Linked DNA regions of Rhinolophus ferrumequinum. The protein of the gene in region 2 interacts with the protein of the main gene of each other region in a biochemical or structural test. Links are inferred from orthologs where the notes say so. Each region holds a gene or a part of one and is shown on either strand. Other genes may lie near its edges.

Region 1 (9,977 bases), on a different chromosome or scaffold from region 2:
GATCAAGGAGGAAACTGAAGTTCAGAGAGGTTGAGTAACTGGTTCGAGGGCACAGTGTTGAAGCTGGGGTTTAAACATAGGTCTAATTCCAAACCCAGTTTCCTTCCTCCTCACCCAGGGGTCTCTCTCCTTATCTTCTCCAGGGCTTTCCTCTGGACTGTGGTAGCGCCAGTCCTGGTGTACTGTGGGCGTTCAGCCAGCTTAGGGAGAATCAATGTGGGTGAACTCTTGAGGACGAGACAGTTAGTTGAGGGGACACTTTCTCCAATGTTCAGCAGAGGGCGCCTGTCCACAGCCAGATTTCCAAAGCTGTTTCTTTGGGTGGCCACTTGGGTGATCCAGGAGAGCCTGGAGATTGGGTGTGGCTCATAGGTGCCCCCAGCATGTGCGCTCCATCCTCCTTGGCCCTCTTATAGAAATGTGCCCCCTAGGGGACCCACCCACCCAAAAGAGCCCAGGTGCAAATATGACCCCCATTTTATAGATGAGGAAGTGAAAGGTAGGGATAGAAGAGACCAACCCAGGGTCTCAGGGTGGTTGCTGGCTGTTTTAGAGATTTGCCAGGCTCCCAACTCAAGCTTCAGCTGGACCTGATACAGATAGACCAGGGAGTCATATTGTCACTCAGAGCCTGTTTCCTCCCCTTCAAGCAGGGGTACACTAACATCTCAAGAGGTAGTACAGCAGAGATGGGAAACCACTACTCACTGAGCCTTTACCATGTGCCACACACTAAATTTGACCTTTTTCACATATCTCACTTAACCCTCACAACAGGCTATGTGCTACTAGTCCCTTCATATAAATGAATAACCAAGGCTCAGAGAGGTCCGTTAATACATACAAGGCCACACAGCTGGTAGCCCTGCACCATCATCTGAACTAGCTTTTTCTACTTCGTGAAAACAAATGAGAGGGGCCCCAGATACCATGACATGATTCAGTCTGTCCTTGCCTCTTTTCCCCTGGTTTCATTTATGCACCATCTTTTGGGCACCTACTGTATGCTGGGGTCCACTGGATTGGGAGCTGTTTGAGGACAGCAACTGGGTCTTATTTAGTAGTCACTAAGCCCCCTCTGTGTACTGAGCTCTCTGCTTGGCCTAGAGGACCCAGGGGACCCTGGGGAAGATGTCACCGGCACTTAGGTGTGCATCAAGAAAGTGCACAGAAGTGAAGGAAGGGGCAGAACCTGGGGGAGTTGGTGGAACCCACCCACTTACTTACATACACACACACGCGCACACACACACACACCACACATGAGGCTGGTTCAACGGGAACAGAGGCAGCTGCCTTTATTGGGGGCCACGGGTGGGCTGGTTTCACTCAAAGGCCACACACTTGATCTTGAAGTCACCCTCTGCTGCCAGGTAGTTGATGGCCTCCAGATTGAGGCGGTTGGGGAACTTGAATGTGTATCCATCTGGCAGCTTGATGCTCAGGTCTGCCTGGTCGAAGGAGATGCACACCTGGGAGGAGGGGGGGTGCGAAGGGCAGTGAGCAGCGTGGACCCCCAAGCAGAAGCCTCAGTGCGGCCAATGCCATGGCCTACAGGCCAGGGGCCCTCCCAGAGCCTTTCGTCCTGTAGCCCTGACTGACAACAGTCCCCCTTCATGGGTGAAGCCACTGAGGCTGGGAGAGGGAGATAACACAGCAGATGAAGGGGGGAGGGGAGAAAGGGCAGGGTGGGACCTAGATTACTAGCCACTAAACCCAGCTCTGCCCCAGCCCACCCAGTGCCCTGCTCCAGTCCCATCCCCAGCCCACCTCCGTGACACTTCCAGGCTGGAAGGGAAAGGCAGGCTCCCGCAGTTCCGTCCCCCAGACCCCGTCATCCTTGCTGTTACACACAATTGTGTTCGTATCCCCATGTATATCGAAGCGAGGGTTGAAGTGCAGGCACACGTTGTTGCTGTCTTTGCCCAGGTTCAGCACGAAGCTAGTGGGTAACAGGTGGGATTGAGGCCAGCTGCAGCGCCCTCGGACTAACCAGTCTGTGCTACTCAGTACACCATCAGTGCATCTAGCTGGGAGAACTCATTGAGCCAGGAGAAAAGAAACCTGCATTCTAGCTCTGGCCCTACCACCTCCTTGCTGTGTGACCTTGAGCAAGTACCTGCCCCTCTCTGGGCCTCAGCTTCCTCATCTGCACAGTGGGAACTGTACAAGAAGGATCTTTATGGGTCATGCTGTGCTGATAGCCAAGACTCTTGTAGATGTTAGTTTGTGTCCCAGCCCCTTTGGTCAAAGTCGGAGACTCCCTCCAGATGGTGACCTCTGGGAGGACAAGTGTCCCATCTGTGTTGTGTATCTCTGTACCACTGGTGCCCAGCATGATGAATGACACACAGTAGGTACTCAATAACTGTGGGGAGAATGAACATTTGATAGACCGAACATTTGCTGAGTGGAGGTAATAGCAATCCTTGTCCCTGAGGGTTTGGTAAGAATGAAAGAATAGTGCATGGGAGGTGTGCAGCCTTTTGATAATGTCAGCTGATCATCTCGTGGGCTCTGAGAGACCCAGCATCTCACTTCCTCCATACAACCACTGTCCCCCTTGTTTTGGTTTACTGATTAATAAACTGAGGTTCAATGTGGTTGGTTGACTAGTTCAAGGTCACACGGCTGCTGAGAAAATTGACCAGCTAGCTGAATGAATGAGTGAATGAGTGAAGGAAGGACTGAAGGAATGAAAGGTTGAGCATGCAGGAAAGAGGGACCTCAGAGGGAGAGCTGCGGGGGTGATACCCTTCTCATTCCCTCTCTCTGCCCTGCCCCCACCACGGCCTCAGGTCCCGCCAAGGTCTATGATGAGGCCGCAGCTGGTTTAGTTTAAGAGGCTCCAGCAGGGAGGGGAGGGGGCGACAATGGTTGGGGCATCCAGATCCCGCGGAGGAAGTGACTCACCCAGAAAACGCAGCCTCTGAGGCCGCCTGAATTAACCCCTTCCCCCCTCCGCCGGAGGGTGGGGAGGAGCGGGGCCTGGCCGGCCACGCCCCTACCCGACTCGGGACGCGACCCTTGGGCTCAGAACCCCAGCCCCTACCGCCCACCACCCGCGTCTTCGCTCCCTCACCTTTTGGCGTCGGGGGCCACCTCGCCCCGCACTCTGAGGCACTCCCCAGGTTTGAGATTCAGGTTGCTGGCGACCAGACCCTGCGCAGACAAGACCCCGCCCAGCTGGGTTAGCCAACGCGTCCCGGTGGATCCTCAGGCCAACTGGAAGCCTGGGGAACCCGGGTGTAAGTTCTAGCCTTTCTTTCTGTGTGGTCCCGGGCAAATCCCTACTCCAGCCGGTTACAGTCAGTTTCCTGTCTGTAACAAGACTGGGGTTCTAGAAGCCAAAATCTAGAAGTTTTTGCGGTTCAGCTTGGAGATTTTGGATTCAGAGCGGCCTGGGAGGTGGGGAACTATGCTCCATTGCTCCATGTAATAGCTGGAGAGAACCTCATGTAATAGACGGTGCGTGAGGGATTTAGTGGCAAAGGAAGGTGAATGGAGGGGTCTACCCCTCTGCTGAAGAGGAAGGGGCCTAGGGCTGACAGATCCCCACTATCCCCTTCAAGTAGAGAGAGGCAGGGGCTGGAGAGGAAACCCCCAAGGAGCACAGCCAGGCGCCTCTACAGAAGGGCCTTGGCCGGAATCTGCAGCCTGGCTGGCTGGGGGTTAACACGATTGAGCTCACAGCTTAACTGGTTGTGAGTGATTCCTTGCGCCAGAAACTTGAACCCTTTCCCTGGGGGCCTGAGGAAGATTCTTGCCTTCTTCTTTCTCCCTTAGCACCACCCCCTCCCAGCTTGGCCGAGTGGGTGGTGGGGAATTCCCCCAACTCCCACCTGACCAGCCTGGACAGAACCACTCTCCAGCCGCTACCCCAGGCAGGCCCCTTCCTGGGCAGCCTGTCTCAGATCCTGGTGACATTTCAGAGCTCTCTAGTGCAAAGGGTGACTGCCCTGGCCTGGTGACTGGGGACAGCTGCTGCCCGGTGACTGGGGACAGCTGCGGGGGGGCATGAGGGGGAAAAGGAGGCTCTTTAGAGTAGGGGGGGCAGGGGCAATGCCCTGGGTTTCATCAAAGTGCTGCCGCCCAGTTGGCCACACCCTTCCTACTCCTACCTCGAGAGCTGCAGAATGTCAGACCATGGCAGGAATAACTGTACTACCAGACCCTGGAGGAATCTAGAAAATTCTTAAGCTGAAGAAGGCCTTGGGGGACCATGGTGCCCACCCCATCTTAGAGACATGGCCACTGAAGCCCAGAAAAGAGAAGGCACTTGCTCAAGGCCACACCGTGGGGACCAAAACCCCGATCTTCATCTGCCCTCACTCTCCCCAGCTGTCTGCCTTGACGCCATCCGGGACCTGGGGCGGGGTCTCCACACTCACACAAGCCATGGCTGAGGACAAGACGATGGTCCTGGGAACTGATGGTCCTGGGAACTGACGCACCAGCTGTCTGAAGACTCCACCCGAAAGATGGGGCCCTGGGCCGCTCCCATCCTTTTAAATGGACCAGACCACCGGTGAGTCCCGCCCCCAGAAAGATCAGCCAATTGTAAGCCAGGACAAGGATAGGGGCCACTGGAGGTGGAGTCAATGGAATTTTGAAGCCAGTTCTGGAGCAGAACTGACCAATCAGAATTGTGATCCCCCCCATTCCTTCTTAACCACTCCCCCAGAGTCCAGACTCCGCCTCCCATTCTGTTTCTTCCCTACCCTCCCCATACCAAAAATTGTGCTGTGGCAGGGATTGGGGGAAGCCAATGGAAAATAGTTTGAGAATGAGCTAGGCCCTGGAGTTGGAGGAAAAGGGCCAAGAGCCAGCAGACTGAGCTCAGGGGGTACCCAGAGAAGACCAATGAGGGAATGCATGGTACTTGAGAGAATTAGATCTGGGGTTCCTGAGGTTGCGCCCTGGAAGGGACCAGGGTGTGACTCCCTCTGTGGGCATCTGCAGAGGGCGCAGGACCCATCAACCACAAAGCCCTGGCCCCACCCGGGCCTCCCCCGGAAGCAGGGATTGTGGCTGCTGCCGCGTGTGCTCCTCGCTAGCGCTAAAGAAAGGCTGGGCAGGGTGCCAGGTCTGAGGCTGCCGCCAGGGTTTAGGGCTCAGGCCTGGGCCCTCCTGAGGGGCCTGCTGGGGAATCCCTTAAGAGCTCCTACTTGACAGCCTATGGCCTGTCTGAAGAGGATGAGGCCTGGGAGGGGGCCCAGGCTGAGCCAGGCCATGAGGGGTTAGGGTCCTGGCTCTGTGCATCCCCGTCCACTCTCCTCATATTCTCCCTCCGAGGTCAGGCACAGCCCTTCCTTTCTCCATCTCTTTAGCAGATACTTTACTGAGCACCTGCTGTGTGCCTGGCCCTGAGCTGGTCTGAGAGGATTCAAAGATGGAACTCACAGTTCCTGCTGTCAAGCAGCCCGCTGTTAGGGCAGAATCTGGCTATGAACTTAATGAAGAAATAGTACGATATTGGCTCTAAGGGAAGTCGTGAGCAAAGCATCATGGTGAAGGTGGGTCTTGAAGGATGGGTGAAGAAGGCGGGCTGGCATTCCAGCTTGGGCAGATCTGGGGAACAGCAAGCATATGAGCATGGATGGAGTTTCGGGTATGTTGGGGAAAGATGGGGCATGAGGCGGGGAGGCCAACAGTACCTGGATCAGGATGGGTTTCATTGAAGGGGCTTGGACATTGTTTCATCTGAGGGCGCTGGGGAGCCACAGAAAGTTATAGGGAGGGTGAGTATTGAGGCCAGATTTGGGCTCCAGGGACGATTACTGTAACAACAGGGTGTGTGTGTGTGTGTGTGTGTGTGTGTGTGTGGAGGTGTGCTCACCTCACACTCACGAGCCAGGTGGAGAGAGGGGCATGGGGAGCACTGGGCAAGGCAGGAGGCTTAACACATCACTGTCGCCCTTCTGAAATTGCCGGAACCAAAGAGGGAGGAGGATGTGAACCAGGAGTGACTCACATCTGGAGGCTAAGCCAGCAAACCTGCCCTGCCCTCCGATGCCTCCCAGTCCAGCTGCCACTGTCCACCCCTTACCCCCGCCCCCGGCACAGGCCACCTTCCTCCAGATGACTGAAGCCCACCCTGGCACCGGAGGCGTGGGGAGTGCATGGGACTGTGAGGCAGGCCTAGAGAGAAGGCTGGGCCCCACCCCCTATGAATCCCGTACCCCTCCTGCCAGACCAAGCCTGCAGCCTCAGAAACCAACCACAGCAGCTTCACTTTTTCCTCCAGGGCCTTCCTCAAACCTCAATCTACGGAGGAGTGGGTAGGGCCCCGCTCCGCTGCCTTTCCTCTGTGCTTCCCTTCCCAGGGCCACAGGCACCCTCTCTCTGCCTGATCAAGGAATTGTGCATTTCAGGAGGTGTTCTAAACCAAGGACAGAAGTACTTCAGGCACAGTCCTGCCTGGCTGCCATCAGGTGGGCCTGGCTGGCTGTTCCAGCCCAGTAGTTGGGCTCCCAGCACCCCAAGAGCTGCTCCTCTGTTTTCCCCGCTACACGGAAGACACGCCCAGCACCAGGGAGTGTTTGCTGCAGGGTGAGGGGTTGTTTACTCTTCTTCAGCATCTGGCCAGCTGAGGGATGGCAGAGAGCCGGTGTAACGTGGTGAACAGGCCCCCAGAAAGGCCCTTTTGGGAATCTGGAGATCTACCATGCCCTCCCCAAGGCATCCTGACAAGTCCCTTCTCCTTTCTTGCCTCAGTCTCCCCATCTGTAAGTTGGGGAGGTAAAACCCTGTTGTCCTGTACAAGGTTAGCAGGGGGTGGAGTTCTGGTGTGTTGTACTAAATAGATGATTTTTTTTTTTTTAATAGTCTTAGAAGGTTTTTGCATCTTTTCTCAGGCTGTTTACCTTCCTGGGGTCAATACCTCTGGGAGGTCCCTCCACCCCCACCTCATCTCCATCAGTCCCTCCTGCCTAGGCTGGGGCGGGGAGTCTCTCAGATTCCAGTATCCGTGATAAGAGGGATGGTGGTTTTCCTGGGGGAGGGACAGGGACAAGGTGCATTGTGTGGTGGCGCCCACTTATCTGCCAGGCCCTGTGCCCGGTGCCTCGCTTTCATACACTATCTCATTTCATCTTCACCTCACCTCTTCTTGTCTGCCAACTGGGCTGAACGGCACAGGGAAGCCGCTCTGGGCCCTGAAATGAAACTGATGTTAGAATCGGGAGAAGAGAGGCAAGTCCTGGTTTGGGGGCTGCCTGGCTGTGAATGCAGCCAAGTTTTTGAAGTCTTTGAACCTGTTGTCATGCCTGGAAAGTGGGAACGTTACCCAGTTTTTACCCATTTGCTGGCTGGTTGGAGGATTAGTGATGTGTGAAGGGCTCATTAGTTCTCTCTCCCGCACCCTCCCCCAAGGCCAAGGCCCCCTTGCCGGGGGCTCTCCTTCCCCCATCACTGTCCTTTAGCATAGGCAGTGGGCTCTCTGGAATTCCTCCATCGTACAGACCATCTTACAGGCTGGACCTTGGCTGCTGCATGAGAGATGAGCTCAGCTCGCCCCAAGGGGGATCCAGGCCAGGGAGGCCCTTCCCAGCCTACCCTGCCTTGCCGTTCCCCCGTGGTGAAGGCTGTGCCTCCTGCAGCTGGCAGTGGTCAGAGCCAGGAGTCCTAGAAGTCAGAGCAGGGAGAGACCCCCAAATACCACACCTGAACTGCTCCCTCATTTGATGATGTAGCAACCACCTAGGGAGGGTGGCCACTTGACCAAGGTCACGCAGGAAGCTAGGGCTGAAGCCCTTTCATCTGTTGAGCCAAGGAAAGAACACGAAGGACTTGAGATACCTGGACTTCAAATAATGACCTTTTTTGGATCCTGCTCCATGAAGGTAGGAAGGACTGGTGGCAGGGCAAGGGGAATCCTCCCCCACTCCCTCCCACTTTAGGCACTTTTCCAACTGGTTTGTGCAGGAGCCGCCCCCCACTGACCTTGCTCATCCATTCTTGTCTCCCTGCCTTTGTGCTATTCTCCCACCTAGACAGCCACCTCCCCAAACACTGTGGAGGTCTGTCACTTTTGTCTTCCCACCTGGTATCTGTCCTCTGATCACAGGCCCCAACTCGCCTTTGGGGAACTTCCCCTCTTCTCCTATGAGATCTGGCTGGGTTCTAGGCCCTGTCATTCCTTAGAGCCCCAGGGCTCAGGCAGGAGTCTTTTTCAGGTTTTTTTTTTTTTCAAACATTTTTTTTTGGTCATAATTATAGACTCACAGGAAGCAAAGGCCTTTTTAAGAGCTCAGAAAATATTTGAGAACTGAAGTAAAAAAAAGTATTGGCTCCAAAGTACTAAAAGTACAAAGCTGGAATTAATAAATGTGCTCAGACTTAAAAGGTGGTAGTCATAAAAATTGTATTACATTTGGAAACAATTTTGTAGGTTGAATTTTCTTCAAAAATGGGCCCAAGTCTTCCTAAAGGTTGGTTACTCCTAAATTAGATTCCCCATAGCCAAATAAAGTGTAAAACAAAAGTATAAAAATACTTCGAAAAATATATATAGCAAGAGAAACAAAAACCAAAACCCTCCACATATGAAATGGAGGGTCCTTATGACTTTGGTTAAATTCAGTTTTAAATCCTAGCTCTAGAAATCATATCCCTCTCTCCCTCTCTAAGCCCCTCAGAGACCCAGCCTTTCCCCTAGATAATCAGCAACCTCGAAGGTGGCAGAAGACAATAGTGGACCTGACTAATGGTGAAGGGTTGGGAGCTCTGGCTGACTAAAGATAACATCTTGACCTAAGTCAGGTTTCAGCTCGAGCCATAAGGTGGAATGACCCCCTGGCTACTTTCCCATGAGACAGAACAGAGGGACCCTAGAAGAAACCTCAGTAAGATCTTTAGAAATGATTCATTACCCTTACTTCACCTCCCACCATGATCCTGAACCCTTAACCCACGCGGTCTTGTAATTTTGCCCTATAGAATCTGTAACCTACATGCCATTGGAGAGCCAGATCTTTGAGTGCTAGCTCCCCTGTGTCTCCGGGTTTGGCACCATTTCCCTAAATGAACCTTTCCTTTCTTTGTGGAAAGTGCCTTTTCATGTCTCGTTTGGCCCTGATGCACGCAGGCCAATGAACCCCCTTTAGTTCGGTAACATACATTTAACGTGGGATGTGAGTGATTTTTAATGTTTTCTATGATGTGCCTGGGGGGCCTGCGTATCAAGAGTTTTTGGCTTCAAGTAACAGAAAAATTTAATGGACATTGCTTTAAAATGAAGGAAAATGTTCACATAACAAGCCTGGAGCTAGGAGGTTTCCATGGCAGGTTAATCCGGTGGCCCAATGAAATCATCAAAAATCTGGGTTATTGTATGATCATGAGTTATGACTGTGTAGACAGTTCTTGCTCTTTGGTGAGACAAGCTAAAGGTTTTGGGGTCAACTGTCGTAATGTCTGCAACGTACTTTTGAATGAATCAGTTAAAAGTGTAAATATATATAAAGAGCAATTGAACAAATTGGGCAAATAACAACGGGGAGCCTAGGAGAAGGGTCCATGGGTGTTCATTTGCACATGGGTTCTGCACTCACTCCAGGTAGTACCAGGATTGAATTCACTTGTGGGACACCCAGTTAGCATCTGCAGAAAGCTGGAGAATTGCTTGATGTAGAAAACCCACACATCTGGTGTCGAAGTATTCTGTGGGTAGAGGAGAAACAGTTTTCCCTTTTAGTTGGCGTCAGAGAAGTGGGATTTGCTAGAATCCCTGACTCACGGAAACATGTGGTTTGGGAAGGGGAAGGAAGAAAGGGCGGGCACAAGAAACCTCTGATGCCTGGGTGCCACGGATTCACCCCTGGTGTGCAGCAGCAGCTGTGCTGTACTGTTATTAAAGGTAAAAATTGGGCGACCGGTTGGCTCAGTGGTTAGAGCGCAGTGCTCATAACATCAAGGTCGCCAGTTCGATTTCCACATGGGCCAGTGAGCTACGCCCTCCACAACTAGATTGAAAA
Region 2 (10,834 bases):
CTCTACGCCCCCACGCCGGCTCTTTCCCGAAAGTCAATGGCAAGCTGCCTGTGTTGTCTTGCGGGAGGCCTGGTGCAGAGCGAGAACTTGTACTTTTATTAAAAAATAAAAAATCGCCAGCCACGCACCCCAACAGAAATGAGCCAGTGAAGGTGAGAGAGAAATGGACAAAGCCATGCCCTCCGGGAAGCAGGGCCCATGCTGGCATCTCTCCCTGCCCACACTCCTCAGAGCTCTAAGCAGCTGAAATGCTTTCCTGTGACAAGTTTATCAGCCCCACCATCTGCAGCATAACGGGCGGTTTTATATCACCAAGAAAATTAGGACCCAGTCGCTGGGCTCACCTGTTCAGGTGGGCCAGCAAACAAGTTCTCTCCAGGCTCAGAGCCCCCTGGAGGCCGCACCCCTGCTGGCTTCCTTTTTCTGGAGCCGGCAGCCAGCCACAGGGCAGGGCAACAGGCTGGAGAGAGTTAACCATGAGGAGGGACAACCACCCCCAAGGCTCCAGCCCCAGCCCCCCACCCCCTTTCAGGCAGGTCTCAAGAACGGCTCACTGACACTCATGCATTTCCGGCTTCCTGTGCAACAGGCCTGAACTAGCGTCAGTGTAAGGGCTGTGTCTGTAGCTCCCCAGGGCACCCCCCGATTCCAGGGGGGCAGCACGCTGTCTTGGTACACACCCAGGGAGTAGAGTGAGCAGCCCCTCCACTGCAGCCAAGAATCAGGGCAGGCTCAGACACCCCCACCTTCACCTTCACCCCCAGGCTGGCCTCCGCACCCGACACAAGGCTTACATTCAGCTCACAGCCAAGAGGGTCGCTTCCCCGGTTTCCTGTAGGAGTGGCCCGGACAGGTGGCAGAACAAACAGGTTTAAGGCAGCTACCTGAGCAAAACTCTGACCTTTCAGGATCCAGGGAGGGCCGGAAGCACAGTTCAGCTCGGAGATAAGGTGGCCCGCTCCCAGCTCCCTGCCTCAGGGACGGGGCAGCCACTGTCCTCCCCAGGCCCTGGGGTCTGCAGAGTGGCTGCCTCTCCTTCTCCACCACGGTCTCTGAACGGTCCTAAAGAGCCATCAGACTGCAGGCAGGAGTCCCTAGTCTGCCCACCGGCAAAGTGCACTTTCTGGTTGGAAAGTAGAGTGACACGCGCTGACCTTCAGACTCCTTACAGGCAAGACAGACACCAAGGGCCTCCAGCACCAGCGCTGACAGCGTCTAAACCCAGCTCTCTGGATCCTCCCTTCGCCCGCCTGTCCCTTACTCAGCCCCTTCCGTGACAGGCAATCACGACTGCTCACCGAGTCAAGTTAAATACAGTTCGGGTGACTTCTTTTTCTGTCCTTTGTTTCTGTTTGTAAGTCAGCCGCCCAAGCGGAGTGTGTCAGTTGTCTCCTGCTGCTGTAACAGCAGTGCAGGCTGCACAGCTTGAACACCACACACTTACTTTACAGATGCAGGACGGAAGTCCGACATGGGTCACACTGGGCCAAAATAAAGGGCTGGTCCTTTCAGAGGCTCGAGGGGAGGACCCGTCTCCTGGCCGTTTCCAGTTGCTAGCGGCTGCCCTCAGCCCGACTTGTGGCCCCTTCCTCCACCTTCAAAGCCAGCACTGTTGCATCTCCCTGGGCCTTTCCGCCATCATCCCCTCTGACACTCTCCGGCCCCCCTTCCACTGGTAGGGCCCTGTGGTCACACTGGGCCCACCTGGCCAATCCAGGACGAGCCCCCATTTTTAAGGTCAGATGATAAGTACCTGGAATTCCACGTGCTCCCTTAGCCCCCCTTTGCCACATAACACATTCGCAGGTCCCGGGGGTCAGGGCGTGGACCTCTGCGGGTGCGGATGGGCATTACTCTGCCGGCCACAGGGGCCGGGAAGAACCTACAGCTTTTCCCGGGGGCCGGGACCATTCACACAGCTCTGCCTCGGGGCGGGGGGCACAGCCTGAGTCTGCACTTCATCCTTACACCACAGCCGCTGTGCGTGCATAGTTTGTGCCGTCATCTAGGACTTTTGGAAAACAGCTGCCCTCCCAGTTGAAAGTGCCCTCATCCCAAACAAAACTACGCATCTTCGGCTTGTTTTTTGGAGAGCCCGGAACAAGGGGATGTGATAATCCCACGATCGGCCCAAGTCAGGGCTGCTCCCACAGACAGTGGACGCACCTGCCTGAACCCACCTGCTCTCCCGCGTGCCTCAGCGCGGGGCTACCAGGCACAGTGGCCAGCGAGCCATTCTAGACGGCTCCAACCTCACGCTCACGCCCACACTGTCATGCGCCCTCACTGTACCTGGTCAGGCCCCACGTGCACATGGCCCCGCCTCACTTCCCACGGCATGGTCCCTGGCTGGGCAGGGATGGCAGGGCACTCTGCTTGGGAACCGGAACTGTGACTTCCATTTAATGGCAGCGCTACTACAGATAAATGAGTGGGATTCAAAAGAAATGCAGACAAAAACAGAAAAACGAACATTTTCCCAAACAGGTTTTGCTAATATCAGGACTTTGTCTTGGTCTGATGAAAAGGAAAATCAACATAAAAGTGCTAAACAATTAATAGAAAAAATTTTAAATTCCCTTAACGTTGGCAATTAATAAGAACTTTCCAGAAATCTCCATAGTCCAGAGTGTCACTGAAAGGAAAATAATTTTTTTTTTTCAGTATCCTGGGTACCACGCCACAAATGTCTGTACAACAGGGAAACGTCTTCCTTGTCATAATACCGATCCAGTTCAGGACTCTGAACCATATTCCCCGATCGGAGATATTCTGTTTTTGAAAGAGAAAACACTAGAGCATTTATACACCTACCCTATACAGTTGCCATGACGACTGCCACAGTGCTGCCAAGAAAGTCCTGAGACTCAGATGAAAGGGGCCATGTGTATTTGTGGGAGCCCACAAGCGCTCACCTCAAAGGCCCCCTTCAGGGGGTGGGGATGAACACACCCCGAGCGAGACCTGCCCCCCACCCGGCACCCTGGTGTCTCCTCACTCCTCTGGGGCTTGGAAGACATGCAGATTAGGTGCAGTTGGACTGGCGGGTAGAAATTTCCTCAAGCACCAGCAGCCTAAACCAACGCCTTCACTACGTTGCTGTGGGCTATGAAAATATGGCGTGAACTACATTTGGGGGAACAAAGGAGACGTTTAGCTAATGGAAGGTATCAAAGGATCAGATTTTTACAGCTGAGGGATCACATGGTGACACACTGGTACCCACACCCTTGGAAATATGTGATTTCCTCCACCACCGGGCGAGGCAGCATCACCTTTGTGATCAGGTTCATTTGGACACGAAAGAGTAAGACCCAGAATCCTGTGTCCCAGCCCACTGGTGGTGGCCTTGTGACAGTGCCTGACCAAATCTGGGCTGCACAGGACTGGACACCCCTGCACTTCCAGAGGGGAGCAGGCTGGGCTGTTAACGTGCCTCTCAGCAGGGCACTCGGGGCTGAACAGAAGGTCACTGAGGCCGGCAGGGAGGGCCACCAGGAGGCCACCCTGGCTCTGGAAGAGGCCCCACTGAGCCCACAGGCTCAGGCTGCATTGTTTGCGGCTGAGGCCCGTGGGCTGGGGCTGGGGGCTGGACAACGCTCTGCAGCCCAGCCCAGGAAGACCTAACTCAACGAGCTCCTCAAGGGGGAGGAACGGGAGGCTGAGCACCTGCCTCCTTTCCATGGACCTACCTGCGACTGTGCTTTTGTCAAGTTTTGGCCCTTACACCCAAGTGCCGGCAAGATTCAGGTGACACCAGCAGATGTGTGTTCCCAAACTTGCGCTTTGTCCGAAACGTGGTAGGAAAAGCCGTCAAGCACATACCCCGAAGCAGGAATGAGACATGGGGCCGATGTGCTGCTGAGAGACACGGGTTTCCTGAGGGACACAGGTGCTTGGGAGAAAGCGGGGTCTGGCGCACGGAAGACTGCCGGCAGGTGTTAACGCCTGCCAAACCTAGGCACACAGAGGGCACGGGAAACGCACCGAGGGTGGCAAGGAGGCGGTGATCCCCAGGGATAAAAGGATCCAGACCAGATGGGGGAGCGCAAGGCGCGCAGAGGGAAAGGGGAGCGTGGCCCGTTTGAGTGCAAAAGGGAGGAAAGGGAGCTGCGCTGGGGGCAGGGAGAGCAAGGCCTGGCTTGGGGTGGGGAAGGCTGGCGCGCTGCAGGGGTGACCCGGTGCCAGGCAGGGCGGGCGGGCTCCCGAGCCCATCAGGAGAGGCCCTGCCCAGGTCCGAGTGGCGGCACCGAACACGGCGCGGGCGCTAGTCCGCGCCGTCAGACTCCGCCAGTCAGACGGGGGAGGAGTCTCCGAGTCAGAGGGGTAGGTGTCGCCCCCCGTCGGTAGGAGGGGACAGTTTCTCCGAGGCACCCCCGTCCGAGGGGACCGCTGACCTGTGGGTCAAGGGGCCCCAATAGGTCAGACAGGGAGGGAGCGTGCGGGGTCGGAGGGCGGCGGCAGGCGCTGGGGAGGCCGGCGCGAGGGGGAGCGCGGGCGGCTGCGGGCGCGGCCTTCACTCACCCGGGGCGGGCTGCTTCGGGGTCCCGCGGAAGCCGGGGCCTCGCTGCGGGAAGGGCCGGGACCGAGCGGGCGGCCGACTTCCGCCCGGCGCGCTCGTCCCGCCTCCGGGCAACACGCTCCCGGCAGCCTCTGCTCTGCGGCTGCGCGCCGGCCGCGTGCAGGGAGCTACTGGAAGTTGTAGTTTTGGATGCTCAGCGAGCTGGGCCGGGGGAAGGACCGGAGGGAGGAGGGCTGTCCGCGCTCCCCACCCGCAGGCCCCTTCCACCGCGTTATTCTGGAACGTCGGCCGAGCAGAAAGGGGAGGGGGGCGGAGGTGAAGGCTACGGGGAGGGGGGGTATCATTCCTCGAGCTGAGATTGTGAGACCCCTTGCCTGGTCCCCCGGACCTTCGTGGTCCTCCCGGGGCGTAGAGGCACGGAACCATTTCTGCCACCCTCATTCTCAGAGCCCTTCCCTTGGCTCTTCTAACCGCCTACGTCTGAATGTAGCTCAGTTTCCAAAGCAAAGGTCAGTACACAGGTGTACAGGCAGGAGCGGCCTGGGCTTGGGCCCCCCTAACTTGCAATCAACGAACCCCTTTCCAAACATGGGTCTCTAATTCATCCCGTTTCTCCAGCCCCCTGAGCTATTTGAATGGACTATGTTAAAAGGCATCCCGGCCCCTCACCCCTAAGTCCTGTAATGATGCTCATTTTAGAAATCCTGGAAGAAAAAAAGAAAAAAAAAAGCCCTATAGTAGTGGAGCGTCACACAGGAGCATGGCGAGGGGGTGCGTCAGTGCTCCCGGTCTGCACCTTCGGTCTCTGCATGCACACATCCCTGGTCTCTCAACAGCCTTCCATCAACAGACGCACAAGAGAAATTTCAAATTATATAAATGGTGCGCAGTGAAAGATAACCCTCCCTCCATACCCCCTCTGCGTTCCCTCCCCAGAGGTAACCATTAGTACTAGTTTCTTGTGGTCATTCTTACAGATATTTTGTGACACACAAACGAATCATAGCACATATGTTAAATTACTTTTAAACCTAATGGAAATGTGCTAAACATAAGGCTCTGCGTTTTTGAGGGGGAGGGGAGAAAAAAAACCTTTGCTGAATTCATTTATATTTTCCATCATATTAAACTGTATCCCAACCATATACCATATACTACAGTGTTTCCCCGAAAATGAGACTGGTTCTTATATTACTTTTTGCTCCAAAACACGCATTAGGGCGTATGTTCAGGGGATGTCATCCTGAAAAATCATGCTAGGGCTTATTTTCCGGTTAGGTCTTATTTTCGGGGAAACACGGTATAATTATTTTAAATTATTCACATCTTTTTTTTACTAAGATATCTACTTTCAGGTATGGCTCCCAACTTAAAAATAAAACACTAATCTTGTTATCTAGAGAGCTCTCTAGGTACTCCTTCCTGTTGCCAACTTCCTCCCACCCCAAGAGATAAACACAATCTTGAATGTTGTGGTAATCATTCTTGTGCTTTATTTTGTAATTTTAGCAAATAGGTTTGTATCCCTAAACTATATATATATATATATATATATATATATATATATGCATGTATTTTACAAAAATGAAATAGACCTGTTGCAATGGGTGAGCAATCCCATTGGCCCACAAGTACTATCAGGTGTATTCATTCATTTTACCAATCTGATAGCATGAAATGTCTTCTCCTTGCCTGATTACTGAGAAGTTGTGTATCTTTCTCAGATTTTTTTGATATCTATATATCTATATATCTATCTTTCTTCTGCTGCACATGCCCCAACATCTCAGTGCTGTTTTTAGAAAAGAATCCATCCTTTCCCCATTGATGTATGTGCAGTGCCAGTTTTGCCATAGCTCAAGTCTCCAGGGACATGTGGCTCTGTTTGGGAATTTCTGTTACTGTATGGGTATAATATTTCATATCAGCTCAATACCACTGTCCTCATTATCACCTCTTTATACTAAGCCTTCATAGGGTGCAGGACTATTGCCCTCCCCACCCCCACAGCAGCCCACATGCCCCTACCTTTTAGGATGTTAAATAGAATTGCTTCGAATCTGTAGATTGATTGGGAGAGAACTGAGATGTTTATGATATTGAGTCTTCTCCCCAAGAACGTGGTTGCCTTTCCGTTTACGTAGGTCTTTTTAAAAAAGTTTTTCAGTAAGGTTTGTAATTTTTCACTTCACAGAATAGCTTGTCCCATAGCATTTTACAGAGAGCTGCTTCATTCTCCACAGAGCGGTGTGTGGCATTCCACCGTGTGGATGGGATGTCATCTACTTTACCAGGCCCCGGTGATGTTCTTTCGGGATATCTGTGATCTTTTCACATTACAGCGATGTTACTTATTTGGGCACAACTATGAAGATATATGTAGGATCCCCAGAATAAATATTATCCCCAGAAGAAATATTACTATATCAAAGGGTGTTTGCATCCTCTAGTGAGTAGACAGACTTCCGCAGAGGTTGTGCCGTGAAATTGCACTCCTTATGGTCAGTGACTCCACGGACATCTACAACTAGGTTTTCCTTCAGTTTTCATTCCCTTTGTCTTCTTCGCATCACTGGAGACTTCACCATGGCCTTCTGCAGGAAATTCTCTCCTCCTTTGGTTTCTGGGCTGTGCATGAACAACGAAAAATTCTTCACTTTAGTCATTCATTCATGTGTTGAGTTACTCAATGGACTCACTCATTCATTTCAAAGTCGAGTGCTTAGAATTATGCAGTCCACCAGGGGGCCCTCCCATTTTATTAAAACATTGCCTTACGGTCTGTCTATGCCAATCTCTGAAAGTTCCCAAAAGGAATTCTCAAAATAGGGATGGAAATGAGAGATGGAGAAACTGAGGCATGGGGCATGACATGGCATCATTAGAGTCAGAAAGCACAGAAATGGTCAAAGTGAGACTGCACGTGTATTTTTTTTTTAAATCCCTGACTGCCCGTCTTTGCATCAAGAGTGCAGAGGGGACTTCCATGAAAGGTTTGTCCTCCTTAGAGGGGTCTCCTGCAGGTGTGAGGAGCATGAGGCAGCAGACCCGCCTGCTCTGTCCTTGTAGCTGCCAGTCCTGATTCCCACCTGCCCTGAGTCTTCTCGACCACGGGCACTGCCATCTAGGAGCAACGAGCGTGGGCCAGCGGCCAGGGAGGCTGGATCTGGCTGCCAAGTTTCCATCTCAGCTCCTTCCCCGAATCTCCACGGAGACTCTCCCACCCCCACCCCTTGGCAGTGAGACCCTGCCATCTGAGCCTGCCTGTGGTTACCCTTCAGATAGGAATTCAAAAGTCTGCAATCGGCCTCTGCCGTTGTGGGACAACTGGGCAGCCCGGCCCAAAATAGCTGGGAGAGGCAGAATGTTAGGGCCGCAGTGGGAAAAATCACAGTGCTGCTAATGACAGGCTGTGCTGATCTGGAACCAAGGGTCTTACAGACTTCAACCAAGGTCACATAGTTTTCTGCAACGATGAGAAAACAGACATGGTGAGTAGCAATGATATGCCCAGGGAAAGCAAGGAATTGGCCAACTTGGGAGGACACAGAGTGTCCTGCCTTCTGGGCCTCTATCCCAGAGAATGTTCTCGCATGGGTCTCTGGGCTTTACATCCCATGAGCTGCCCTTGTCTGAGCAGACGAGCCACTTGGGAATATTCAGGAAGCCTTTGAATCTTGGCCTTGGCCCAGACATCCTTTGTGTAGGTATGAGCTCCCAGGGAATTCCAGGATGGGCGTGGCCATCTGGAAGCCCAAGACAGAGTCCTTGGGGGGTGGGGGCCTCCTCATGCTGGTTGGCCCTGGCCTCTGACCCGTCACAAGGCTGATGAAATCTCCCCCAGGCACTGCTATTGGCTTTGGGTTCTGATGTGTTAATGCTGTTGGGTTTTTTTTTTTTTTTTTGCCATGACTCCTGTCCCAGCTCCAGTCAGGACTCTGTCCAACAGGAAGATACTTGCTGAACTGAGAAGGTTCTGTCCTGGTTGCTTGGGGGCGCTACCGCCGACCCTGGAGGAGAACCAGGCCGTCTGTAAGACCGCCCCTAGCTTGACAAATTTCCCATCTTTCCTCCTCAAAATTTTAAAGCAGAAAATGACGTTGATGACAAAGGGCATCAGGGCCATGGCCAGCTGTGTTTTGGTATTTTATTTCCTTTATTGAAGGCTGACTTGCATTCTTTGGGAGCCTGGCCTTGTTGGCTTGAGCTGTGGGCCGTGACGCTACGGCCCAAAATGTGCTCGGACCTCAGTTCCTGTGCTTCTGAGCTCCCCACGCCTCTGAGCCTTCTGTTTCACACCAGCATCTTGGGAAAGCCCAGCTCTTGTTGCCACGTTTAATACCACCCCCTGCCTCCAGGAAAATGAGTAATCCCTTTTCTAATCTCTCGGGAGACGTGGGGGCTCAACCCAGGAGAAGGGAGGGAAGAAGACTATACTTACAATGATGACAGTTGTGATGAACATTCCAGCACTTTGTACCTGCTCCGTCAACCCTTCATCAACTGTGTGAGAAATTAGTTTCATAATCCTCTGACAACTTCGTTTTCCCCTAAATTGGGCACCAACGAATTTGACAGAACAAGGTGACGCAAACTGCGAGGCTCTGAACGGCCTTCGTTTACCCCACGGCCGAACCTGCAAGTATCCAATGAAGGGGTGCTGCCCCCCAACCGCTGGGGTGGATGCTCTGTTTTATTTGCATCTTACTCTGAGCACATCTGGCCTCACGGGTTCCACGGCAGAGACCCGTGGACCTGTCTCTGCTTTACAGATAAGGAAACGGTAAGGCCCACCGAGCTGGGGCAGCGCTCCCAAGCTGAGGACTTACGGGGTCCCGCCACTGGACTTCTAGAGCTCTGCTCCATCCTGGCCTCCTCCCCGCCCAATTCGTGGCTTTGAATTATCTATGAGGTAACTGTCCTTTACTTCTTCAACACCAAAACTGTCTTGGAAGGGGTGAAGGGAGGGGACAAATCGTCCATCTTTGCGTCTGTTTCTCTTTCAAGCCGCGTGCCCAGCTTCGTGTGCAGAGGTCCTCTGTGGGTCCAGCGCTCCCCAGGCCTGAGTCCCTGGGTAGGGCAATGGGGAGCTTTCCCATTGCATCCATGGGGTTCCCGATTCACTACAGTTCCAAGAAACACGCGGACCCGAGAAACACGCGGAGCCTCGCACATCCTGGACGAAGGTCCCGCAGGGGCCGCATGGAGATGGAGCCTCTTCTGCTTCTCTTGCTGTGGTGTGCTCTGGCCTCCCCGCTGCAAAGGCTATTTGAGGACGGAATGCTAGGGGAAGGTCAGTCCTGTGCCGGGCCTGGGTCTTGTTGACGGGAAAGTCCTTCGAGTTACGTACAGGAACGAAGCCGACGAGCTTATCTCGGGGTTTTCCTGTGTCGATAATCAACCATGGATGTAAGTTTGGCCAAGCCTCAGACACATGCAACTCCCAAGTCTTCTAACACCAGTTGAAACAGCATCTCCAATGGGGTTTCTGAATCTTGCCAGAGTGTCCGTGAATTCCTCTGGGGCCACTCAGGGCCAGGAGCATTTTTTTTCCTTTGCTCCCACAGTGGAGGGTCAGAGGCTGGGTCTCTGTCGAGAGGTCACTGGGCACTCATGGGCTCCACTGCTCAGAACCTCCCTCTTCTTCCAACTCCATGTCCTCAGCTTGCCCTGGCAGGCTGGTGTGCCTGGTGGCTGTCAGGCGGGCACACGCCTTTCTCCCTTTTGATTCCTTAGCCTTCTAGGCAGACACACGTGAGGAGCAGAGGCGGGAAGGAAATTCCATGGCAAGGGAGAGTGAGGCACAGGCTCTTTGCTTTGCCCCAAGCACCCCAAACCAGCATTCCAGTCTCTACATCCTCTGTCCAAGTGAAGCCAGGGATAGGGGCCCTGGGAGGAGGGATGAGCGAACAAGGAGGGCAGGTGTGGCATCCAAGTAGATTGGAGAAGATGTGGGAACAAGGGTCCAGAAAGAAGCACAAAAGAAAGAAAATGTTATTATCATAGTAGAGTTTTGCTTGTCTGGCTAGATCTTTCCTCTTCTCCTGATGGGATAAGATTCCAGAACAAGCTGGTCTGACTCAGAGTTTGGGGATGGAGACCTGCTTTTGGGAAACCTGGGGTAGCTATCGGGCTGTGAGGTGGGACCAAGGGACTTGTTTAGAAAGAACTTTTGTGTAAGATGGAGAAAATGTTCGATATTCATATCAAGGAATGAGACTGAGAAATGCCGAAGTCCCTCCTGGCCCCGCCCCTGGCTCTTCCTGTCCTCTGGAAAATCTGCTGCTCCCGGCTGGGGGTTCCCAACCTTTG
Region 3 (9,995 bases), on a different chromosome or scaffold from region 2:
TGTATGTTCACTTGCTTCGCCAGGTTAGGAAAGTTTTCAGTCATTATTTCTTCAAATACATTCTCAATCCCTTGCTGTTTCTCTTCTCCTTCTGGTATCCCTATGATGCGAATGTTGTTATGCTTGAATGTTGTCCCAGAGGTCTCTTAATCTGCCCTCATTTTTTTGGGGGGGGATTCTTTTTTTCTTTTTGCTGCTCTGATTGGGTGTTTCCTGCTACCTTGTCTTCCAAATCACTGATTCAGTCCTCTGCTTTATCTAGGCTGCTGGTGATTCCTCCTAGTACATTCTTCATTTCAGTTATTGTATTCTTCACTTCTGACTGATTCCTTTTTATGGTTTCTAAGTCCTTTTTTTTTATGCCTGCTATCTCTTTGTTGAAGTTCTTATTAAGTTCCCTGAATATCCTTATAACCATTGTTTTGAACTCTATATCTGGTAGGTTGCTTACCACCATTTTGTTTAGTTCTGTTTCTGCAGTTTCCTCCTATTCTTTCATTTGGGATGTATTTCTTTGTTACCTCATTTTGGCTGCCTCTCTGTTTGTTTCTATGTTAGGTAGATCTGCTATGTCTCCCAGTCTTGGCTGGGTGGCTATATATAGTAGGTACCCTGTGTCTTCCTGGTCACCTGCTCCAGGTGCTCCAAGAGTGTCCCTTGTGTGGGTTGTGTGTCCCTTCCTGTTGTAGTTGAGCCTTGATTGCTATTGGCACATCAGTGGGTTTGAATAACCCTCAGGCTGACTGGCTGTGGGGTTTGATCAAGTCCACAGCTTACAGGCTGCTGTGAGGGAGGCTTACCCCAATGAGTGGGATTTGTTCCAGTGGGCTTTGTTGCTTGTTTGAGACCACCCTTCGGGTATGCCACTTGTGGGGCTAATTAGGCAGTACTCTGCTGTGGCCTGAAGCCAACCTCCAAGTATGTTGGTTCTGGGGCCTCTTGCGAGGAGCTTCAGTGCAGGCCCAGGTCACCCACTACCTGTGACGGGCCGGGGATTACCTGGTAGGAACTACAAAGTGATCTGTGGTTATTTACTGCCTTTCCCACCCCTGGAGGTGCGTGGGAGAGGCTATGCTGTGAATTGAGGACAGCTGCCACCAGTACCAGGCCTGGGGTAGTTCTGCAAAAAGTCAGAACACCTTGAGGCCTGCTGACACCTGTTGGCTCCCTTATGGTTCAGCCTGATAAAGCCTTGTGCAATACATGAGTTGGGTGAAGCAGGGTTTCAGGGAGTCAGTATAGTGAGAAAAGTTGTTGTTAATAGGTTAATGTAGACTCTGGTTTGGTGCCAGTGCTGAGCCTGGAGCTATGCAGCAAAAGTCTCAGAGCACACCAAGGCCAGCTGCTGCCTGCCTGGGTCCTGTGAACTCCCATAGTTTTCAAGAAAGAGTGCAATGCAGGTGGGATTGGCTGCTCTAAGAGAAAGTGCCTCTAGTGTTGGATGAGTTGGGTGGAGTGGTGTCTTAGGGATTCAGCAGGGTGGAGCAGTGGAACTCACCAGGCCAATCAGATTCAGATTTGGCCATGGTGGGGGCGGGCTCAACACAGGAAAGATAGCACCCAGCTGCATGGAAGGACCTCCTTACAGGGAAAATGGCAACCGTCCTCCAACCCTCACTCCGAATCACACACCTCAGTCTGCCCCGCACCCCATCCTCTGATATCCCCTGAGTTACTGCCCCTCCGCTGGAGCCCAAGGTGAGTGCCTGTGAGTGAGAGTTTGTGCACAGGCCGCTTAAGAGGACATCTGGTTTCCCTGGAGCCTTTCGTCCCGGTCAGATGGTTGAAATCCCCACTGTTTTTCACAGCCAGATGTTATGGGGGCTCCTCTTCCCAGCATCAGTGCTCTGGGCTGGGGAGGCTGGTGTGGGGCCGGGGTCTCTTGCTCCTCTGGGGAAACTTCCCTGGCTGAGATATCCCTCCTGGTTCTCAACAACCACACAGAGGTTTGGGTCCTGCCCGTTTCATGTCTCCACCCCTCTTACCAGTCTCGATGTGGCTTCTTCTTTATATCCTTAATTATAAAACTTCTATTCAGCCAGACTTCAGATGATTCTCCAGGTTGATTGTTCTATAATTTAGTTGTAATGTAACTAATGTAACAGGCACAGTGTTTTTCTACTCCACTATCTAGGCTCTCTCCTCTGTTTTCTTTCTCTCTCTTCTCTTCTTCCTTTTTTTTTTTTTTTTGTACATGAGTAGTTTATATAAATGAGTAGTTTATATAGTTCAACAAATGTGAAAAAAAACCTCTCCACTCTGCAGGTACTATAGATATGTGAACTCCATCCTGGCATTTCCAGAATCAGAGAATTTTGGAGAGCCAGAAAAGAAACACTACATCAAAGACAAACAAAAAATAGAGGAAGTACAACCTGGGTCTTCACTTTTGGAAAAACCTACAGGAGGTAGTTCAGTTTGCTTTGGAATAAGGACTTTAAACATGAGTCAGAAGGTTGACCATGTTAGTCATCCATTAATTGTAGCTTTTCCCTTTAATAAAGAGCAGTTATCTATTCTATTATTTTATTCAAGGCCCATCTAGCAATTAATCCAGTTGCCCGGGTTCCTCGGAGCACTTGTGAAACTTCTGCTCACAAAGGGCCCCGACCTTTACACAAGCCATAAGGGAAATAGATCACGAATGTATTTCCTCAGAACCCCAGGGCTCTGCCCACACTCCTCTCCAAAGAACACAGGCAAGACAGTCTATTTCCTGCCCTGTTTAAAAGCAGAGCAGGACTTGGATAAAGGGCACTTTCCAAAGCCAAATTCAGCGATGCTGAGTTGGAATAAAGGACACTGGTCCTTTACTAGGATTTCTTTCTCATCATAGTTCCTCAGCATCAAGGAAGGTAAAGTTACTTTGTGCCTCTCAGTTACTGATATTTCCCCCTGTGGAAAAACTGAATATCAGTCAAGAGAGAACACATGATACTTAGTCAGCAGAAAATTGCAAGTATACAGCAAGCACTACCCTGGCAGGCTTACCACTCAGAATTTAATGAGAAGAACCTGTTCAGGCACCAAATATTACCTAGTTGTCCTCAGCAGGAGCCTGTGTCCCAAACCATCACAAGAAAAACAGCCTATGTTTTAGATCAGTTACCACGAGTCTCACATACATTCAAGGATCATCATCAAAGTTCTCCCCAGAATATGGAATAATGCTGATTCTAAGTGGAAACCCCCACCATTATGAATTTAGGAAGCAGCTCCAATCTCCCAAAGACCAAAGATGAGGCACAGCCATCAAAGGACTGAGAAACTAGAGATTTAAAGTCAATGTCTGAAAAGAAGACCACTGTGGAAAAATTAATTTTATTATTAAATTTTAGCTTTCATGAAAAAACAATTTCCTAGTATGAAAGATAAACGTTATATACTTGAGACAAATGAGTCAGAATTTTGGAAGTTGGTGAAAATTTTTTCTCATGCTCTGTGCCCAAGTGGTTAATTTTTATTGCTATCATTTTCGTCAGAATTAACTGAGCCTGATTCCTTTCCCAGAATCCTAGAAACAGACTAGGTCACTGAGGTCCACCCGTCCTCATTGTCCAGCAACCCAACTCCCAGGAGTCACTTTACAAATATTCCACAGTATCTGGAACAGGAATCACTAACTTTAAGGGTCTGGCCTGAAACCTAAGTCACAGCCTCAACCTATGTGTTCCTGACTGACTGGCCCTGAGCTCATACCCCTGAGTGGATGTATTTCAGTGTTTGTATTTGCACAACTGACAATTGAGAATAAATCCTCGAACATGTTTTTAACACACACACCAACTAGGGCTCTGCACACTCTAGCCAACATCCTGCCACACCCTACACATCCTCAGCACAGATTTGAGATCATTAATGCCCAAATTAGCCAATCTGATCCAGGAGGAGTCGCTGATTTGGAAAAGCGTAGGGTTTGCAGTCTTTGCCAAGCTGGGCACATGCCCACTCAGGCCTTGGGGCAGCACCGTTTTTTGTGGGATCAGCACGCAGAGAGGAGCGGCAGTCACGGACGCTGCTGGGCGTGGTAGACGACACATTGGCTCGGCACAGCAAGATCAGGTGGCCGGCCAGCCAAGTCAGTGGTCCCAGCAGCCGCCCGAGAGAGTCCCTGAGCAGTACGCCCTGTGTGCTGTTTTAGGGGACCTGGTTCCTGTATCAAGCTTGGGCGCGCCCCTCACCACCCGCCAGCAGTTGGCCTCCGCTGATTCCGAGGTAGCCCAGCGGCGGGAGGGCAGGACGCATGGCTCAGCCTCCTAGACGCCGCAGAGCGTGCCCTGTGCCCACGCCCGGTGTCTGCACACACACCCGTCCGCCCGGAGGAGGTGTGTGTGAGTCTGTGAGACGTTGCTAACTTTCCCCGAATCCCCTCTTCCGGAGCGTCAAAGGCTGCGGACCCGCGCTCAGACGGCGCCCACCGCTCCGCTCGGGGCTCTCCAGCTGTTGGTGCCCACCGCCCCGCGCCCGGAAAGCCACGCCGCCCCCAGGCTCCCGCCGCAGCCCTCCAAAGGGGGCTGCGCACCAAGGACTGCCAGGATGCCCTCGCCCCTGCCCGCCCCGAGCCGCCGACAGGCCGGGTCCCCGTCCCCGGTACCTGCGCCACTCACCCGAATCCTGGGCACTCGCTTGCTTGCTCTGGGTGCGGTTCCTGGTGAGGTCTTGCTGTCCCCGACAGGGCGGCGGCTCCGAGCCTCAAATACACCCAGCCTGGCCCGCCTCTGCCGGGGCGGGGCCGCCACCCCTGCCCACCCGGCCTCTCCCTGCGGAACAAGCTGGGTGAGCCCCGAGCCCCGCTGGGCACAAAACACAACCTTGGGACCCAGGAGACAGCGGGCGGGACCCTGAAGGGTGATCCCCACCCCTGCCGCCTCCCATTGGACCCCTCCTCGACCTGGAGGGTGGCCACTTTCACAGGCCTCTCTCCAAATTTCACCTGACTCCTCAGACGAAGATAGGGAGAGTCTGTGAAGCTTGGGGTGTGTGCTTCTTTAGGGAGTTTTGCTTGCTTGCTTGTTTTAACGGTGTTTACTTATTTTCTTACTGAATTGCAGGCGCTCTCGTCCCTTCTGCATTTACTTTACCCAAACCCTCTCTCAGCATCAAAGCCTTCTCAAGAAGCTCACAGTGACTTGGGGCGCTGGGAGGGCCCTGACCTGTTTTCTGAGATGCTGGGTGAAATGCTCCCAAGTTCTTGGCCTTTCTGAACTGTGATGTGGGCACACACGTCTCAGACTGAGACCTAAATTGTTTTGCTGTTTGCTCCCTCCTGCTTCCTCATCCATCATCTGTGCAGTGTTTGTGTGCAGTAGGTTCTCAGTGAATATTTGCTTCATGAGTGAATGAACGAACAAAATAATGAGTCACTTCCTAGAAAGTCTAACTATCTGTTTTCACCAAGATTGGGGAGAGCCCTGATGAAGGAGGGAACAGTGAAACACAAAAGTACATTTGGTAAGGGCCGGACTAGGATAAAGCTACTCTTGAGGAAAGGTTGTTACAACAAATACCAACGCTTACAAGAGAGACTGTATTTAGTATCTGGTATCATTTATCTGGATAAGAGCTGAGCGAAATGATTAAGGATGAGCAAGGTGGATTCTTTAAGAAGTTCAGATGTCCACTCATGAAAGTGAACCTGACATGGATTAAAGACTTCTATGTAAAACCTGAAAACAAAATTCCTAGAAGAAAACAGAAGGGAAAATCTCCTTGACATTGGTCTTGGCAATGATTTTTTTTTGGATATGACAACAAAGCACAAGCAACAAAAATAAACAAGTGGGACTACATCAAGCTAAAAAGCTGCACAGCAAAAGAAACAATCAACAGACTGAAAAGGCAATCTACAGAATGGGAAAGACTATTTGCAAACCATATATCTGTAATAGGTTAATCTCCAAAAACTACAAGGAACTCATACAACTCCATAGCAAAAAATAATCCAATTAAAAAAATGAGCAAAGGACCTGAATAGACATTTTTCTAAAGAAGACATGTAAATTGCCAACAGGTACAAGGAAATGTGCTCAACATCACTAATCTTCAGGGAAAGTTAAATCAAAACCACAATGAGATATCACCTCTTACCCAGTAGAATGGCTATCATCAACAAGACAAGACATAACTGTTGATAAAGATGTGGAGAAAGGGAACCCTTGTGCACTGTTGGTGAGAATGTAAATTGGTGCAGTCACTATGGAAAACAGGATGGAGGTTCCTCAAAAAGTTAAAAATAGAACTATTTTATGATCCAGCAATCCTACTTCAGGGTATGATATCCAAAGGAAATGAAATGACTATCGTGAAGAGATATCTGAACCATGTTTATTGCAGCATTTTTCACAATAGCCAAGACATGGAAACAACCTTAGTGTCTGTTGGTGGATAAATGGATAAAGAAAATGTCTCTCACGCACACACATACGTACACACACACTGGAATATAGAGTAGATTTTAAATATTCTCATAACACAAAAAAAGTAACTATGCAAGATGATGGATGTGTTCACTAACTTTATTGTGGTAATCATTATATATGTATATCAAAAAAATAGTTAGTTGTTAATAACAGCTAATATTCATCGAACACTGGTTATGTGTCTTGTACTATACCTAGTGCTTTACATACATATAGTATGTGGGTAGGTATTTTTATCCCCATTTTAAAGATGAGAAAACTGAGGCACAGATAATTAAATATAACCAAGAGCACAACATAGATCAAGTTAAGAGCATGTCAGGGTCTGAGAAATCAGTGTTTGAAAATGGGGATAAAAATCCCTATTGATAAAAATACCTACCAGATTGAGGCAAAGGACAAAACTGGAAGGAAGGAAAGAAGGAAGGAAGGGAGAGAGGGAGGGAGGGAGGAAAGAAGGGGAGGGAAGGCGAGGGGAGGGGGGAGAAAGAAAGAGAAGGAAGGAAGGATATGCCACCTACAATAGGCCACCACATTTTTATTGGTAGATTTAGAAGTTGGAAAGTGCCATTCAGAAATGGAAAGAATAATTGACCACGAAGTGAAATTTTCTCTGAAAAAACAGAGCAGTCACTCTTCCCATTCCAAAGTTTCAGTGCTGAGGAACAGTTTCCTGTCTCACACTGGGATTCTGTGTCTGGCTGATAACCTATATGAGAAAGCCTCTGTGTCTGCTTGATCTATGTCTGGGAGCTTTTAGATTTTTGGCTAGTGGAGGAAGGGATTCAGTGCTAGAGAATGGAGTAAGGACAAAGGACTAAGGAGAGGATATCAGAACCAATCTCAGCCCAGCCTCTTTTGCTGGGTTGGAGCCCCAGGGAAAGAAGAATAGGGCTGTCTTTGTGAAAGCTTTGAGAGAAGGTGCATGGAGGCCCAAGTAACAAACTACAGTCCTCAGATGTGAGGCAGCCATTCTTCCCCCTTCTGCACCCACCCCTGGCAATGCTGGCTCTTCGCAGATTTCCAGAGCAGACTGCTGGGACAGACATTAATGTTCTCACCAGGCGGATTCACTGGCAGTGTCACCAGGAGTTTCCTCAAGTAGGTAATGACAATTTCCCAAGGGGCAGGGCAGCTGCTGCAGCTGACGCAGGCTGGCCTTTGTTAGCATGAGAGGGGTCTGCTTAAACCACAGGGTTGGGGGCACATAGAGCAGGGGAGGGGCTAGGAAAGGAACCCTGCTCATGCAAGAACAGAACTACGGGGAGCCTAGAAATAACCTCAGTGGGATGAGGAGGCCTGGCTTGAACTAGGCAACGGGTAGTTGTGATGTAACTTGGTGATACAGTTACACGTGTTCTGTGTTTTGGACAATGACTTCACTCAGTAAACCAAAATGGAAAATTGGAAAGGTGGTATTGTGTTATAATCTCACTGATCCAATGTGATTGAAGGGTGGGAATTAATGAAAAACCAAATTACATTTTACCAGAAAAAGATGTGTATTTAGATATATAGATCTATAGCTATCTCTCCACCTACCTATAAATAGCTAAAAAATAAAATACATTAATGTGATCATGGGCTGGAATGTTCCTGTAAACTTAGAAATTATGTAAGGTGACCCAAGGAGCCTTGTCATGTTGGCGACTTGGGATCCTGTGATGTCAGAGAACAATGGATGCGTGACATCAGGTTGGTGCAAAAGTAATTGCGGTTTTAGCAGTTGTTTTTAACCTTTTAAACCGCAATTACTTTTGCACCAACCTAAAACATAAAGATGTATTGTTACTAAGGATATCGAAGGAAGCAAACATTTAAATTTGGAGTTTAACTCAAACATTTCCTCCTATTTTCCACCCCTTGCTCACCCCACCCTGGCCAAAAGGGCCCCCAGCTCTTCCTCCTGCACACAAGACTCACTCCCCACTTAGCATCCTTGCACAGGCTGCTCCCTGTATCTGGAACTCTCTTCTCCCATTATCTACTGACTAAACTTTCCCACCTTCTTCAAGTCTTTGCTCAAATGCCACCTTCTTCCAGAGTCTACTATTTTACCACCCTGTTTAAAATCACAGCTCGAACCTCCCCCAGTTCTTCATTCTGCTAATCCCCCTTTACCCTGCTTTACTTTTTTCCCCATAGTATATGCAATTTCCAGCATGCCATTGACTCTACACATTTCTTATGTCTGCTGTATGTTGTTGGTTCCCCCTGCTTCTCTTTCACTTCCCTCCCTGTCTGCAGAGTTTTTACTGTGTTATTCACTGATGGACCCAGTGGTACATACCGTAGTAGGCACTCAATATTTACTAAGTGAATAAATTCATAGTGTGGGAACTGGAGAAACTCCTGTGGCTGTTCGATTTTATCACTTTCAATGCCCTTCCCTCTAGTTAACTATTTAATTCCCCTTAAAAATGATTTAAAAAAATTTAAGAGTGAAGAATTTGATTAATAGGTTACTATGTTTGTACAATACAAAAAAAGTTTTTAAATATCTGTTCCCCAGGAAACTCACTGAAGATTGATCATTTCTTTTGGATAAATAGACCTAGTCTCAAAGCAACTTAACTATGAAGAAATTATAAGCCACCTCTTTAATACTTTTGCACAGGAAATTAAAATTATGTATACTGTCCTTTAAACTTCATCATATCTTTTTCTTGGAAGAAATAGATAAGTATTCTCCTCTCATTTTTACTGTCAGGGAAAATGATTTACTTATCCAAGCTCATTCATGTCTAGGAACAGAATCCAGAAGTCCTGACTTTTATAACTCATCTAGAAAAACACTGAGCATCCTTGCAGGGACCAATTTATGTAAACTAGGGAGAAAACCAGGTATAATGTGTTTCCTAAATAATTCCTGTACTCCCTAAAATAGCAAAGTAATTAATAAGCTGTGGAAAGATAAATGATTTCACCCGTTTTCCACCATCAGAGGGAAATGTGCACATGAGGGAATTCTCACTTGACGGAATTGAAAAGGTGTCTTGGCATCCCCTGGGATAAATTTGAAAGTGCCTTAGTGGCTGGTACTGTTCTTGCGTCACTGTTCCCTCTAAGCTTGCACATAGAAGTCACTGTGTGCTGAGGATGAATCACTGTGTAGCTGGAAACTAATTGTGAAAGCATAACTTCTTCTCTAAAGAGGGAACCTGGCAACCAATTTACTTGAACAGATCATCCATAGTATATGACTAACCTTTGGGTGTTGAAAAGGAGTTACCCACAGGAACGGCCTTTGTCTCTTGAGAAAATGCTGTAAATCTTAAGACTTTGAGTCATGAGGCCACGCAAACAGGTGTGGTACCAATGTCCTTAGCGGATTAGCTTCTGGTAGTAAGAAAAAGGGATAACCAATAGGTTGTTATGAAGATAAGGGGTGAGTCACCCTGTTGCCTATCTTGCTGGTTAATCTTTGGTGATTTCAAGGGTAGTTAAAGCTCACGTTCTTGCTACTTATTGGGCTCACTTACATCTGATCCGTATGATCAGACATCCTTTTGTCTTCACTTTTTTATTTGCACATTCTCGTGTGCCCTTTAGTGCCAACTTCATGCCCCTTAATGC

Evidence for each region.
Region 1: the proteins of galectin-3-binding protein (region 2) and LGALS1 form a complex in vitro, tested with the Homo sapiens proteins (2 studies listed by BioGRID). The link is inferred for Rhinolophus ferrumequinum from reciprocal best matches to the Homo sapiens genes LGALS3BP and LGALS1.
Region 3: the proteins of galectin-3-binding protein (region 2) and LGALS3 form a complex in vitro, tested with the Homo sapiens proteins (4 studies listed by BioGRID). The link is inferred for Rhinolophus ferrumequinum from reciprocal best matches to the Homo sapiens genes LGALS3BP and LGALS3.

The regions. Positions count from the first base shown.
Region 1 is NC_046293.1:9,224,047-9,234,023, forward strand, and holds LGALS1 (galectin-1), read right to left. Parts: upstream 4,522-9,977; 5' UTR 4,401-4,521; coding exon 4,392-4,400; exon of another isoform or gene 4,342-4,391; intron 3,249-4,341; exon of another isoform or gene 3,163-3,248; coding exon 3,083-3,162; intron 1,943-3,082; coding exon 1,771-1,942; intron 1,473-1,770; coding exon 1,326-1,472; 3' UTR 1,273-1,325; downstream 1-1,272. UniProt on the Homo sapiens protein: Lectin that binds beta-galactoside and a wide array of complex carbohydrates. Plays a role in regulating apoptosis, cell proliferation and cell differentiation. Inhibits CD45 protein phosphatase activity and therefore the dephosphorylation of Lyn kinase.
Region 2 is NC_046304.1:52,739,377-52,750,210, forward strand, and holds the start of galectin-3-binding protein, read right to left. Parts: upstream 4,641-10,834; 5' UTR 4,525-4,640; intron 3,817-4,524; exon of another isoform or gene 3,693-3,816; intron 1-3,692.
Region 3 is NC_046289.1:38,186,740-38,196,734, forward strand, and holds the start of LGALS3 (galectin-3), read right to left. Parts: upstream 4,744-9,995; 5' UTR 4,608-4,743; intron 1-4,607. UniProt on the Homo sapiens protein: Galactose-specific lectin which binds IgE. May mediate with the alpha-3, beta-1 integrin the stimulation by CSPG4 of endothelial cells migration.